Linked DNA regions of Pelodiscus sinensis. The protein of the gene in region 2 interacts with the protein of the main gene of each other region in a pairwise test. Links are inferred from orthologs where the notes say so. Each region holds a gene or a part of one and is shown on either strand. Other genes may lie near its edges.

Region 1 (7,931 bases), on a different chromosome or scaffold from region 2:
TGAGGCATGGACAGAGGGTGGGGAGGGAGGGACCAGGGGGCCTGAAGGGAGAAGGATCAGGGAGAGGAGTGCAGGGGCAGCAAGATGTGGGGCAGGGGATGGGGGAAGAGAGATGTGTGTGTGGGGGGGGGATCAACTCACCAAGCCCCAGGTGGGAAATGGACTCCAGTTCCTTGTGTGACACCGCCTGCTGGATGGGCTGGGGCAGGCGCAGGGCCACAGGGAGAACCTCCCTAGGGGGACAGTGTATCAGACTCCAGTAGCAACTCCAGGGCTCCCTCCTCTCCCAGCGGCATCCTCCCAATCCCCTTCTACCCATCCCCCCTTCCCTGAGGACTCTTCCCCAATCCCCTTCTGCCTCAGAGCTGCCCCAACTCCCTCTGCTCCATAACCCTCCCCCAGTCCCACTGCCCCAGACACTACACCAGGGATTGCCAACCTTTTTAAGCACAAGATCACTTTTTGAATCTAAGTGAGTCTGGGATCTACCTCAAACCCAAATACCCCCGCCCTGCCCCTTCTCCGAGGCCCTGCCCCACTTCTTTCCTGAGGTCCCACCCTCCTTACTCTGTCAAGATGGGGTACAGGGGAGCAGGACAGATTGACATCAGCGCCCTCTGCCTCTGTCTCCTCCACTCTGCACAACAAGCAGGAGGTTCCCAGGGGGCAGCTTTGAGGCTCTGGGCAGGAGCAGCAAGGCAGTGTGGGGAGGAACAGTTGAAGTACCGGCACGTGACAGCCTCCCCGCCAAACCAGTCAGGATCACCTGGCAGAGGCACCAAGATCTACCGGTAGATCCTGATCTACTGGTTGGTGAGCACTGCACTACAGGATCTTAGTCCCCTGGGAGCAGGGGAAGGCTGGAGCTCAGATCTTAGAGGCTACGTCTACACTGGCCCCTTTTCCGGAAGGGGCATGTAAATTTCACTAGTCGTCGTAGGGAAATCCGCGGGGGATTTAAATATCCCCCGCAGCATTTAAATAAAAATGTCCGCCGCTTTTTTCCGGCTTTTAAAAAAGCCGGAAAAGAGCATCTAGACTGGCCCCGATCCTCCGGAAAAAGTGCCCTTTTCCGGAGGCTCTTATTCTTACTTTGAAGTAGGAATAAGACCCTCCGGAAAAGGGCACTTTTTCCGGAGGATCGGGGCCAGTCTAGACGCTCTTTTCCGGCTTTTTTAAAAGCCGGAAAAAAGCGGCGGACATTTTTATTTAAATGCCGCGGGGGATATTTAAATCCCCCGCGGATTTCCCTACGACGACTCATGAAATTTACATGCCCCTTCCGGAAGAGGGGCCAGTGTAGATGTAGCCAGAGTGTTCCCCTTGATCCCACTCACCGTCTCTGGCAGTAGGAGGCTACCAGATGCAGCAGGTCTGGGAAGCTCCGGGATGAGCCCTCCAGGGAGACTCCTGCAAAGACATGGACCCTCAGAGCCTGCAGTGCTGAGAGGCGCTCTCCCCGGAAGTCAGTACTTGCTTACTGGCCCAGTGCTGTGCCAGGGGCACCATGCTGCAGGGAGTGGGGGGCTCCATAGGGCACCAGGCACACAGCTAACCCTAAGGCGCACATCCCTACCGGCTGGTCCTTCCTGCAGGCTGTAGCTGGCGACAAAGGCCGGTGCCAGGTCATCTAGGAGGCGCAAGCAGAGGGCCCGGCGTTGGCGTGTGTTTGATCGGCGCACCAGGAACGTCTGGGGTGAGAAGGGAGCACCTCACAGCAGGGGCTATGCAGGAGTTGTGGACTCCATATCCACCGGGGCCCTGTTCAGCCCCAGTGATCTACCTAATGTGGGATCTCCCGTCAGCCTCATGGGCTCATCCAGTGTGGGAGCCCCCCACATCATACCCATAGACTCACCCAGTGTGCCCCCTCCAAATCAGACCCATAGACTCACCCAGTGTGCCCCCCCAAATCAGACCTATGGGCTCAGCCAGTGTGCCCCCCTCCAAATCAGACCCATAGACTCACCCAGTGTGCCCCCTCCAAATCAGACCCATAGACTCACCCAGTGTGCCCCCTCCAAATCAGACCCATAGACTCACCCAGTGTGCCCCCTCCAAATCAGACCCATAGACTCACCCAGTGTGCCCCCCTCCAAATCAGACCCATAGACTCACCCAGTGTGCCCCCTCCAAATCAGACCCATAGACTCACCCAGTGTGCCCCCCTCCAAATCAGACCTATGGGCTCAGCCAGTGTGCCCCCTCCAAATCAGACCCCTGGACTCCCCAGCGTGCCGCCCATCAGACCCATGAACCCACTGCCCTCAGCATTCAGCCCAGCAGGGCAGAGCCCCCTCCCCTCACCCCGGGCGGCTCCCGCTGCAGGATGTGCAGGGCAGTGGCGGAGTTGAGGCTCAGCTGCAGCCAGACGGGCTGGGTGAGGAGCAGACGATCCCGGAGGCTGACGCTGGTCGGAGCCCCCCGTGCGGGCCTGGGCTGGGGGCAGACGTGCGGCGCCGGGACATCGTACACGGGGTCACGCGCCAGGCGGAGCGGGGAGGCAGGGCTGTGAGGAGCGCAGGGAGCCCAGAGTTAGGAACCCAGGAGTCGCGGCTCCCCACCCCCGCCCCCGCCCTCCCAGAGCTGGGGCAGAACCCAGGCGTCCTGGCTCCCGCCCCTCCCGGCCCAGGCCCCTCGGCCATACCCGTGCGGCTGGTCCGGGGGCTCCATCTGGCCGGGTGACCAGGCTGCGGAGGTGCGAGGCTCCCTCTGCCAGGGAGAGGAGGCGCAGCGGGCCGCCCCCTTCCCCTGGTACCAGCTCTCCGGGCCCGGGGCAGCCCAGCCCAGCCTGCGCCAGCCCCGAAACGCCCCGGGAGGGAGGCGGCAGGAGGAGCAGGAAGGGCAAGACTCAGACCCACGTGGCTCCTGCTGGGAACTTGCTTCTCCACGCGACACGGAGCCCTGGCGGGGCGCTGAGATGCAGCCGCCTCTGGGGTGGGGCGCGGCGCGGTCTATAGCGGGAGGCAGGGGCGAGGGAGCCCTGCACACAGAGCTGCGTCCCGGTATCGGCTCCACAGCCAGTGCCCCGGCTCCGTGGGAGCCAAACCTGGCCCGGAGCAGTGGAATGCGCGTCGGCTGTGACTCACCGTCACACCCAGCCATGGCACAGGCCCGGACCGGGCGGAGCCAGCCCCAGGCAGGGATAGACGCCCCCCCCCCCCCCGCAGTCACGTTCCCAAGGCAAAGCTCTCTAGGCTGGCACAGCCCGTGCGGGGGCGCAGATCTAATCAGCCAGCCAGCCCCAGGGCAAGCGGGGCAGGCACAACTCACCAGCCTACCAGCTCACTCCTTTTGTACAGGGGGAAACTGAGGCCCGGAAAAGCATACTGCCCAAGCCAGAGCTGACACAGAGCCCAGGAGTGCTGGTTCTCAGCCCATCTGCTCGAACCCACTGGATTCCAACCCCCCAGCTAAACACAGAAAGCAGAAGTCCTGACTCCTAATCCACCCCCAACTCTAACCACTAGACACCACTCTGCTCCCAGGCGTCCTAGCTCCCAGCACTTTGCTTTAAGCACTAGACTCTACTCTTCCAGCTGGGAGAGAAAGGTCAATGCGAGGGCTGTAGGCTGTATGGACAGTCGGTAGCAGCCAGGACAGTAGAAGGAGGAGCCAGGGGACAAAGAAAGTTAGCCACAGGTGGAAAATCCATCAGAACCAAGCCAGATTCTCCCCTCCTCCCCCCATCCTGACTGCTGGGCTGTGCTCCCATCTTACCAGGAGTGAAGTTTTGATATGAATGGAGCTGGCATCTCAGATCATCCCGGGCAGAGCCCCCAGTGTCCTCTTCCATTCTCCCAGTTCCCATCCAAATGGCCCCCATTGCAGGCCCTGGCAGGGCCCCCTTCTCATAACCTCTTTGCTACCTTCAGCATCATTATTAATCTATTATTCCCTTCACTCCCATGTCAGACTCACATGTGCTGGGCTTTGAGCATGTCCAGGCCACAAGCCAAACCCTGGCAGCTGCCTGGCCACCCTGGACATCAGGGGCCCTGGGCATCATTCCCCAGGTCTTACTTTGTCTTGGGTTTTGTATCTGTCCCCATCCTCCACCCTGGAGCCCTGCAGATGCCTTTTCCCCTCTCCAGGGAGACCACAATGGCTCCCAATACAGGAAGGGAAACCGAGGCACAAACCAGGGAGAGGGCTCTGTCACTGTTAGACAGCCAGCTGCAAAACCGAACCTTGGGGTTCTGGCTCCCAGCACTCCCCCAACCCAGCGAACTCCACAGTCCTTCCAAAACTGAGGAGAGACTCCAAGGCTGTCTACTCTGGTGGGTTCTTGCACAATAACAGCCATTCTTCTGCAGAGCGTCCACAGGGCTCGCCTGCTCTTGCTTAAGAAGATTTACAGTAAAGCGTGGGAAGAGAGGGCTTCTTGCGCAAGAGCTACACTCTTTTCTAATAAGTGTAAGCCCTCTTGCGCAAGAGGGCAGTGTGGACATCCAGCAGGGGTTTCTTGTGCAAGAAACCCCTATAGCTAAAATGGTCATCAGAGCTTTCTTGCACAAGAGTGTCCACACTGCCATGGACACTCTTGCGCAAAAAGACGTGTTCTTGCATATGAACCCGCCAGCGTAGACATAGCCCAGGAGTTCTGGATCCCAGTGCTCCTGTCCCACTTGACCCCATAGAGCTCTTAAAACTGAGGCTAGAACCCAGGAGTTCTGGCTCCCAGACCCCAAACAGCTGGGCCAGCAGAGAAGGGGGTTGAGCCATGGGAAGGGTAGTGTGAGGCTGGGATTCAGGAGATCAGTTTTCTAGACAATTCATGGGGCATCAGGCGAAAGCCCCATTGTGGGGAGGGACCAGTAGGATTTGAGAGTCCAACATGGGGAAGAACCAAGATCAGGGCAGGATTCCCACTTCTGTGCCAGATCCCCCCTGTGACCCAGCCCCACTCACCCCAATGCCCTTGTAGCCCCTCCAGGGCCTGTGAAGTTGGGGTACAGCTCATGCAGAGGGGTCCCCCATTTGTGCTCCCTCTTGCTCTGCTGAGCACTGGCAGGGTGCAGGCAGCTGCACTAGGGTGCTGGGGGAGGCCTAGATGAGAACAGGTGTGGCTCAGACACAAGGCCCCCCAGACTGTCACCCATGTGAGCAGCTCCCAGCAGTAGGATCTGGCCAGGGACAGAGCGGAGGTGGCTCTCTTTTCCAAAGGGAAGGGAGGCTGGAGAAAAGACAACAGTGCAGACTGGGAGGGTCCCAAAGGTGCTGCCACTTGTGTGTCCCAGAATCAGCACAGGCTGGAGTCAGGGAGGGTCCTGACACCAAAGCGATCCACGCCCTGAAGGAACTGTGGCCAGCAGGTCTAGAGGGCTCAGACAAGGGATAGCGCACGTAGCTGAGGGGATGGTGCTGGGAACATTCTGTGCCTCAAAGGGATACAGAAGACACCCCACTCACCCCCCAGGCCAGCTCATCCCTATTCCCCAGAATACATTGAAATGAATCAAAGAGCCAAGATTGTGCATGTTTCGCTTAGTTTTTAATGTGAACACTTCCAGGGAGCTGGTCAAGACCCAGGGCTTTTCCTGCAGAAGCCCCTGGAACCAGCATCCCTATTTCCCTGTGGGGCACAACAGCCCCGGACACAGGGAGTTACGTGCCCCCCAGATTGCTACAAACACCAGAGTCCTAGCGAGGGAAGCGAGCGGTGAAGCCTCGTGCTGGTCTGTCTGCAGGGATCTGTGACGGGAGCGCTGGCCATGTGAACACTCCACCGGGCAGGGCCCCAGAGTCCTCTCCATCTGGGTCCTAGTGCAAGGGGGCAGCAAGCCGAGCCTCCGCCCAGCCCCTCGCTGCACCGCAGACGAGCTGTGGGCCCTTGTGTCCAGGAGGAGGCCTGTGCCAAGCCGCAGGGCTGAGCCCCACTCAGGCCTTGCGCACCGAGTACTTGCCCTTCTGCAGCTGCGAGACGTAGATTTTGGTCTTGGTGCCATCCTCCCGGCGCAGCCAGACCTCCCCAGTGCTGACAGCCGTGATCACTGCCCTGCAGGGGAGAGAGGGGTCATGCCAGCCCCCCCAAGGACAGTCAGTCCTCTCCACCTTGGGGCTGGATTCAGGGTCCCCCAGACCCCGTCTCGGGAAAAGGCTCTGTATCCCATTCCCTACCCCGAGCCAGCCAGCCTTGGGGCTGGATCAGAGCTGGTGCCCAGGGCCATTCCCAGGGGGAATGGGGCCTGGGGCAGTACCATCTCTCCCTATACCCCAGAGGTGAAACCCAGAGCAAATCTCCCCATCCCAGGCCCTGCCACAGCTTTAACCCTTCCAAGCATCACCCCAGCTCTGCCCTCACCCCACACTCTTCTACCTCCTCTTGCCCTGGTATTGAGGGTTTGAGTCCCACAGTGATCCAGGGAATTAGCTGGGAGCTTAGGACGAGGCGGCAGCAGGCGTAACACACCGCTCACCACAGCAGCGGTGTAACACAGCTCACCCAGCAGCCCCCTCTGCTCCAGCCCGCTGTGGCTGGGGCGCTCTGCTTCTGGCTATCACATGCCCAGAGCTCAGCGGGTTGGCAGAGGGCAGCAGGATAGAGCAGAGCAGGCTGCCAGGTCACTCTGGCTTCCACCATCACAGTGAGTGGGAGGATGACCCCCTGCTGCCCTGAGCCAGGCCTCCAGGCAATTCCCTGGATCACTCTGAGGCCCCCATGGCCTGGGGCTGGGATGGCCGCTCCATGCCGTCCTATGGATGGGATGGCTTTGCTGGTGCCGCTTAGAAGGGAAAGGCCCCGTGCCCCATACCCTCCAGCCAGCCAGTTCCTGGCCACTCACTGCGCAGGCGCCTCGTCCCCGACCTCCAGGACAACACTCTGCCCTTTGCTGTAGATCTCACCCTCGTAATGCAGTCGCCCGTCCTCGCAGCGCGCTGAGAACTGGGCTCCCGGCTTCTCCACCTTCACCAGCACTGAGGGGAGAGCGGTGGTCAATGGTAGGGGGGCTGGTGCAGCCCCTACATATGGGGATAGGCCCTGCTGGCAGCAGATGGCAGCTGCAGGGCCAAGTTGGCTCATGTCCTGGCTGAGACACGAGGGGACACCAGAGGCCAGACTGGAACCTGTGCCCCTAGAGAAAAAGGCCCCATATCTCATCCCTTGCCCAGCTCTTACCATCTGCTTTTCTTTTCTGGGGGGACACGGCTGCTTTAGCCTGTAGGGAGAGTCAAGATGATTAGAGAAACTTATGCAGGGAGCACACTCCACCCCATACCGCTGCTCACTGAGCTATCTGGATCCCACCCATGCTGTTCCCTCAGGAAGGATGGCAGCATTAGCCTGACATACAGATGGGGAAACTGAGGCATAAGGTAAGGTACTCACTCAGCAGCAGTGAACAGAACCGGGGAGTCCTGATTTCCAGCCCTCATTCTCCACCCATGAGTCTTGTTTCCCCACCTTCCCTATCACACTAACCCACCAGACCTCATGATCCGCTCCCAGAGCCCAGGAGTCCTGACTTCCAGCTATGCACATGGTGACTTTTTAAAAGGGTATATAAAGAATAGATGAGAAAATAATCCCATTTCCAGGTGTTTGATCCCGAACAGCAGTGCTAGAAAGGGGATTATTATGGGATACCCCGGGTGTACTGAAGAACAACTCAGGGTCTGTGTGGGCGGTTTAAGGGACCCAAGCATTGTGTGTGGGGCCAGTGGTGGATGAGGGGTGGGGATTAGAGGAACCAGGTGTCCTGCATGGCAGCTGGAGGACATGGGGAGAGTGAAGGGAGGGGACTAGGCATTGTATGGTGGCCAGTGGCGTGCGATGGAATGAGGGTGATTAAGGGATCCAGGTGTCCTGCGGGTCAGCCTCACCTTTTTGATGGCTGTCCAGTCTTCCAGGATGTCGATGTCCCGCAGCATGTAGACAATGTAGGGGCGTGAAGGGCATGTTAAGGGCACGTAACCATACATGGGCATGG
Region 2 (7,018 bases):
AAGCATCTGTTTATCACCTCTGAGAGATGGACTATTAACTTTAGGCATGGGAGAATTCTCCCCATCACCACAGTGAATGTCTACAGCAAAAGGCTACTGCAGCCCAGGTGCAGCATTTCTCGTGAAGACATAACCTCAATTGGGCTTGGGCTAGAAAACAGTACTGCATGCCAGTATTTCTCCATCAAGTTGATCAGTTTTTACAGAATCCTCTTTTAAAAGGCTTCTAACTTTTGTTGGTACAGAAAACGTCTTCCTAATTTGATCCTGATATTATGCTTAGTGTTTTTAAATATAGACGATAAGAAGCAACAACTGAAGGGCAGAAACCACCCCTATTTGAGCTGAATAATTTATTATGTCAACACCATTAGCTAAATCGCTAATTACTTTAATACAAACATTTGGCTGGATAGAGACCAGAATACCAACATTCTCCTTTACTTTGCTATGCATATCCCCCAGCCACCCCCCCCACACACACACACACTTTTTCTTTAAGCTTTCATTGTCCTCATAAAACCAGCCTTCTTATTTTCTTGTTGCTCATTTCCAAGTATATAAATTTCCTGTTAACAAGTTTTAAACAGGTTTCTTCATTTTCCACAACCAGTTATATTTCGTGATTATGGCCTACCAGGTAGCAGCTTCTGACATACAACTGACATCCTTCAATATCTCCTCCCCACCCCTCAGTAAAGCATTAATTCACTGTTGTAACCTTTTTAGCTGGGGAAAACCATTAGATGAGATGGCCAATGAAATGTTGACAATGCTACAAGAAGCAAATTCTAATGAGAAAGCATTTTAAAATATTGCAATTGTTAGGAAAGGGAGAACCCCCCTCTGGTTCTAGGCAAACATGAATGGGGACACCTCTGCCCCCCAAAAACCAGCTGGACATGTGTAGTATTCTATCCTATCTAGAATGCAATATTCTAGATACAACAGAATAGGACACATGTCCAACCAGTGGTCTTGGAAAAGAAACCAAGCTTTCAAATGAAGCTCTATGAAAACATCAACTAGGGCAGTGGTCTCCAATCTTTTTACACCCAAGATCACTTTCTAAATCTCAGAACAGACAAAGATCTACCGCCACGTCCCTTCCTTGAAGCCCAGCCCCTTCCTTGAAGCCCCGCCCTCTCTATTCTCCTCCTGTCCATCACTTGCTATCCCCAGCCCTTACTTACACACTCTGATAAACAGTTTATTTTTAAATTATGCGATTCATAAAATTAAAATCAGGTGTTTAGAGTTATGAAATAAATGGTCCATTTTTTAATCATGCTATTTAAATCTAAAATGAAGCATTTATAATTATACATTTTGTGGGGACAGATCTGCAGCTAGGGGCAGGGGAGAGGGAACAGGGTGCTGGGAGGGCAGAGGACAGGGTTCTACAGCAGGGGACAGGGTGCCAGTGGGGACAGGGTTCTGCAGCTGGGGACAGGGTGCCAGTGGGGACAGGAATGGGGACAGAGCTCGGGGAGTGGGGACGGGAATAGGAACAGAGTTCTGTAGCTGGGGCCAGGGGAGTGGGGACAGAGTTCTGTGGCTGGGGAGTGGGGTGCCAGTGGAGGCGGCAAGTCCCCTGCATCTCCCTCCTCCCAGGATTCTCCCCTCCCTCCAGGGAAACCAGCCCTTGCCTGCCCCAGGGCCGACCCCACACAGCGCAGGGAAGCCCTGAACGAACGCGCCTGCCCCGGGGTCGACCATTCCTCCTCCCGCATAGGGAAACCCCACGCACGTGCGCCTGCCCAGGGGGCCAACCATCCCCCGGCGCAGGGAAGCCCCGCGCGCACACCTGCCCCGGGCGGCCAACCCCCCCCCTCCCACGCACGTGCATGTCGGGAAACCCCCTGCAAGCCTCCCGCTGGGCTGACCCAGCCCTCCTTTAGGTAAGTAGCGGGGCTTCTCAGGGGTGGGTGGGAAATGGGGGCAGGACAGACAGGACGCCTCGCGAGCAACTGGTTGAGGCCTCGCGATCGACCAATAGCTCACGATCGACCTGTTGGTGACCACAGAACTAGAGTGACACACATGGGGTAGCCCTCACTCCCAAAGCTTTCTACAAGGTTTGCTTCTCACCTAGATCTAAACTTGGCAATGCATCTTCAAAGGACCTTGGAAAAGCAGCTTTCACATTGTGTCACTAAGGTCAACTAAGGCAAGAAGCAGACAAGGTACTTGCTAAAGGTCACACTGAAAGTCATTGGTCTAACACCTGGTTCTTACAACACTGCACACTTCAAAGCACAAGCTTAAACTGCCTCACCAGCATTCCCACCCTTGAACTCTGCTAAGAGGGGAGTGTCCAGCCCCTCGCCCTCAGAGCACGGGAACGGGGCAGGCACAACTCTCCCAGAGAAAGCCACCCCACCGCCCAGAAAACAGGCCATCTCACTCCCACTCACCAGCACCCAGGGACCAGCGCTAGGGGAGAGACCTGCCCCCCACACCAGGAAAAGCCGTCACCAGTGCCCGGGGAGCAGAGCCCCACTCCCAGTAGAGCCACCGCCCCACGCCAGCGCCCGGGCAGCTAGACGGAGCCTCTGAGGCGAAGCCAGGCAGCGCCCGGGGAACCGGGGACGGCAGCGCGGCCTCCCCTCGGCGCGGCTCCCGGAGGCAGACAGGCAGACAGACAGGCGGGCGGGCGGGCGCCGCTCACCTGGATGAACTGGATGGTGAGCGCGGACTTGCCCACGCCGCCGCCGCCCACCACCACCAGCCGGTACTTCTCCTGCCCCGGCCCGTCCCTGCAGCCCGCGGCCATCGGGGAGACGCGCCGGCAGCGCCGCCGGGCCGGGTCCGGGAGCCTCCCTGCGCCGCCGCCTCCGGCCGGGCCGGGCTGGGAGCCGCAGGCCCCGCTGCTGCTGCTCCTCGGGGCGGGGGCCGCGCCAGCGGCAGCGCCTGAAGCTCCGCGGGGCGGGGGAGCAGATCCCGCGCCCTGCCGGCTCCTCTCCGCGGCGGCTCCGGGCCAAGTGAGCGCGGCGGCCCCAGCGCGGCTACAAATGGCCGTCAGCGGGGCGGGGCCGCCTTCTCATTATGCTAATGACGAGGAATATTCATGAGGGGCTGCCGAAGGGGGGAGCCGGGGCAGGACGATGCAAGGGCGGTGCCGGCGGCCAGGGAGCCGCTCCAGGTGGCGGGCGAGCTGGGGGCGGTGTCTGCCCTGGGGTGCGGGCCGGGAGGCCAGAACCGTCCCCTCCCAGCAAGCAAAGGCCGGCCGGCCCCCCCGCGGCGGGCTGGCTCTGATGCGCCACAAGCCAGCCGGGCTCCCCGCAGCCACAGCGTGGAAACGGACCGCGTGTGCCCCCGAGAGCAGCCCTCGCGCCTCCCCTTTATGCTGCCCGCTTGCGTGGGCTCTCCCCGCGCGGCTCCTGCCACGGGCCCGGGCCCCCGCTATGCAGCGGCCGCGCAATAGTCCCCGTGTAAATGGAAACCCCTCCCAGCCTGGGGCATGGAGCGCAGCCCCGCGGCTGTGGAGCCTGCTGCTTTCACTAGCCAGCATGCTGGGTGCGCGGGGGTTAGTTTTATACACCTGGCCTGGGTGGCCGCGGGTGCCATGTGTACCGGACGGCATTCAGCCGGTGCTTAACAGCGGATGCATTCCCGCCTGGGCCTTTCGGTAGTACTCCGCACCTGCCAGCGGAACGCCTCACTGTCTTGAATTCATTCATCTTCACCAGACCTTCTTATGCGCAGCGCCGCTCCTTATGTCTGTACTACAGACGGGGAATAGAGGAACAAAGAGAGTGAAGCCACAGTTATCATTGCTGATTTGCTGTCCACTAATTTCATGAATCCAAATGGAGGCACCTAAAATCCAATTTCTAGAATACTTAGCACTTTTACCAGACTGTATGTTCAAAATGGGGGCATCAGTAGACATGGAGCCTTTGCATTAATAGCAAAACCCTATCACTGAGGCTAATGGAGTGATGGCTAACAGTAGTAGGCTGTTACCCGCTGGACAAATCCTAGATTCTATTCCTGTGTTTAGTAATCATTTCAGACTCTTCTTTCACTATCCCTCCACAGATCCCCTCTGCTGCCAGACCTATCTTGTACCCTGCCAGCCTGATTCTACTCTCCCTTTGCCCTTGTATGCCCCCCCCCTCCCGCTCTCTCTGCACCATGTCCTCTCCCCCCATCCCATTGCCACAGCTTGCCTCTGCCCACTTCTATCACCTCTTGGCATTCCAGTCATTTACCTTTGACATACTCCCAGAGCACTGCAGTTGGAGCAGTAGCAACACAGGAGTTTCCCTGCTCTCAGTTTCTAGCAGCATAAAGCCCCAGGCTGTTTGGCTGCTAGGAGGAGCAATTGCAGAAAAACGTTCTATTAAGCCCCTTGAATCATCTACTGCAGCATCCCCAGTATAAAGGCAATTTTCAGAAAATTTAGTACAACATGCTTGTTGATTTTATTCAGAAGCTTAAAACCAGGAGAATGCCAAAAAGCACAACACTAACATCCCTATATCCAAGTTTGACAAACTTAGCAATAACTGAAAACAGTGTCTTACAATGGAAACACTATAGGAATTGCTAGGAGCTCTCTAAAATGGGACAGGATCTCACCAGTGGCTCACCTTTCTCAAATTACTTCATTTGAACTCTAGCATGAGTCCTTTTCACTGAAAAAGAAAACATTGTTTACATTTTCTTTTTCATACTAAAAAGATTATATCACGTGACAGATCAAGCATTGTCTGAAATGTGTCACTATATAGATAAGGCTATTCCCCAGCAGCATAAAAGCCACAATAAAGAGCTATTAAATATAGAAACATCCCAACATTTGTAATACCAGAGTTGCGTATTGTGACCAGTCAAAATATGTCTACTATCTGAAAGATACCCCTAAAAGAACAGTCAGATCAGAGTTCTACATTTAGGTGTTTCTTCATCCAGCTGATGGAACATTGCTAGTAATTTCATTATGTGTGCCATGTCCCTCTCATAATCATTGACCTAGAACTATAGAGAACATAGTAAAACAATGTATTTCAAATGTCTGGACTCTGGAGCATGAATCACTGAGAAAAGAACACACAGCAATGACTGTTCAGCTGAAGTATTCTTCAGGTATTCATTCCAATGTTTTGAAACCGTGCTTGAATTTTAGGAGATCTGTGATAATCATACTAAAACATTTATTTTCATATGGGGAATGGATGAAATTTTAGTTCCCTCAAAATCAGAGAGTTTTGCCCTGGGAGTTGTCCACTACAAAAATCGCCACTACAAAGGCAATTTTCAGAACATTTAGCACATGCATGCTGATTTTATTCAGAAGCTTACAACTGGGGGAATGTGAAAAAGCACAACACTAACACCCTATCCTCTGTAGGGGCAGGATTTCACCCAACACAGCCCATAGAGCTCTGCTAAGCTCCTTGGCCAAAGTTCTAGGGAAAGAGGGGGCAAATGGCAATACTCCCCCAAGCCCACTCACAGCTAATGCCAAAGTAAGTGTCATGCTGCATAATTTACCTCATTAGTTTAAAGTTATTCAGAAAGCAAACATCTCTATATTTCCCTTACTTTTTTAGCTTTCCTATTTAACTTTCCATCCTTTCATTTGTTTTTCTTGCTGTTATACTAGTGAAACCTTATCATCATTCCACAAAAAGAGTCTTGATTTTTTTCAAGACTGATCATCAGAGTTAAAAGGTGATAACATTTAAAGTAAGTTGTACTCCATATTTTTTTAAATTTTCAAAAAAAGAAACTCCAAGCAGAGACTGAAACACATCCCGGTAGAAGTTGAACCGCCAAAATCCGGGATTCTCTGGTCCGGCAACATCCGTGGTCCAGATGTTGCTGGATCAGAGAGCTCTGGTGTACGGAAGTGTGAACCCCATACCAGGGGAGCCCCGGGCAGGCAAGGGAGAAGCAGGGCCATGGAGGCCGGGGCGCTCCAGTTATGTCTACACTGCAGAGTTTTTGCACAAAAACTTGTGGCACATCCACAACTCAAGCGCAATTTTGCGCAAGAAAATGTACAGTGAATCGACAGAACAGAGGGGTTTTTGCGGTATAGGTATTACTCTTTCTACGAGGAATAACTCCTTTTTGCAGAAGAGTTATTGTGCAAAAAGGTGTATGTGGACAGGAAATGGGGGTTTTTTGCACAAAAACAGCCTATCAAAGGAAGCACAGGTGTCCTGGTGGCCATTCTGTGACTGGCAATCAGAGCTTTCTTGCGAGACAGCATCCTGGACGCTCTCTTGCACAAAAGCGCATTGCTCTTCCGATGCGCTTTTGCATTGTGGATGCGCTTTTGTGCAAGAACTTTTTGTGGAAGTTCTCTTCATTGCACAAGAAGCCTGCAGTGTAGACGTAGCATCCGCCCCCCAGGGGTCCCTGGCCAGGCAGAGCAGCAGCGGGACCAGTGAGCAGCAGAAGCCAGCAAGCCCCGTCCCTGGGGGCAGTGGCAGCTGGGGAGTTCCATCCTGGGGAGCCACAGCAGACCTGAGCCCAAGTCTAATCCCTGCAGGCTGGAGCCCAGTGGCAGTGGGGCTGGAGTGAAGCCAACTGCAGGGAGGGGGGAGCATCCTGGGAGGCCAATGGCAGGGGACCTCCCCATATCTGACAAATTCCCTCATTTGGGAGGGGTCAGTTCCCAAGGATACCGGACAAGGGAGGTTCAACCTGTACTTATGATCTGTCTGTTCTGGCAGTCAAATCAAACTTCAGAAACAAAGCAGTATTTTGCCAAACATAAGATACCAAAAATTAATATATAAACAAATATGGAAAATGCCAGATAGCTTGTTTTAAATAATGTTTACAGTCAGACACAAAGCCCCCCTCCCCCCCCCCCCCCAGTAACAAATGAGGGTGTGTTGTGCCATAGAAGCTCTGGAGGGTTTACAGTTTATTATTCTGATCGGTAACTTCACACATGGAAGTAACCGAATGAAATCAACACTCCACCCCCCTACATAAAATTGTTCCTGGGCATTACTGTTTGCAAAATCAGAGCCCAAGACACATGGATGAAAAG

Evidence for each region.
Region 1: the proteins of RRAS2 (region 2) and RIN1 interact in binary tests that used the Homo sapiens proteins (3 or more experiments, as listed by UniProt). The link is inferred for Pelodiscus sinensis from reciprocal best matches to the Homo sapiens genes RRAS2 and RIN1.

Annotation. Positions count from the first base shown.
Region 1 is NC_134721.1:32,368,220-32,376,150, reverse strand, and holds the start of RIN1 (ras and Rab interactor 1), read right to left. Parts: upstream 3,005-7,931; 5' UTR 2,674-3,004; coding exon 2,648-2,673; intron 2,510-2,647; coding exon 2,308-2,509; intron 1,692-2,307; coding exon 1,577-1,691; intron 1,411-1,576; coding exon 1,338-1,410; intron 234-1,337; coding exon 142-233; intron 1-141. Other genes in the region: BRMS1 (breast cancer metastasis-suppressor 1), read right to left, coding at 5,881-5,998, 6,786-6,918, 7,121-7,160, 7,825-7,889. UniProt on the Homo sapiens protein: Ras effector protein, which may serve as an inhibitory modulator of neuronal plasticity in aversive memory formation. Can affect Ras signaling at different levels. First, by competing with RAF1 protein for binding to activated Ras.
Region 2 is NC_134714.1:108,922,325-108,929,342, forward strand, and holds the start of RRAS2 (ras-related protein R-Ras2), read right to left. Parts: upstream 3,011-7,018; 5' UTR 2,777-3,010; coding exon 2,672-2,776; intron 1-2,671. UniProt on the Homo sapiens protein: GTP-binding protein with GTPase activity, involved in the regulation of MAPK signaling pathway and thereby controlling multiple cellular processes. Regulates craniofacial development.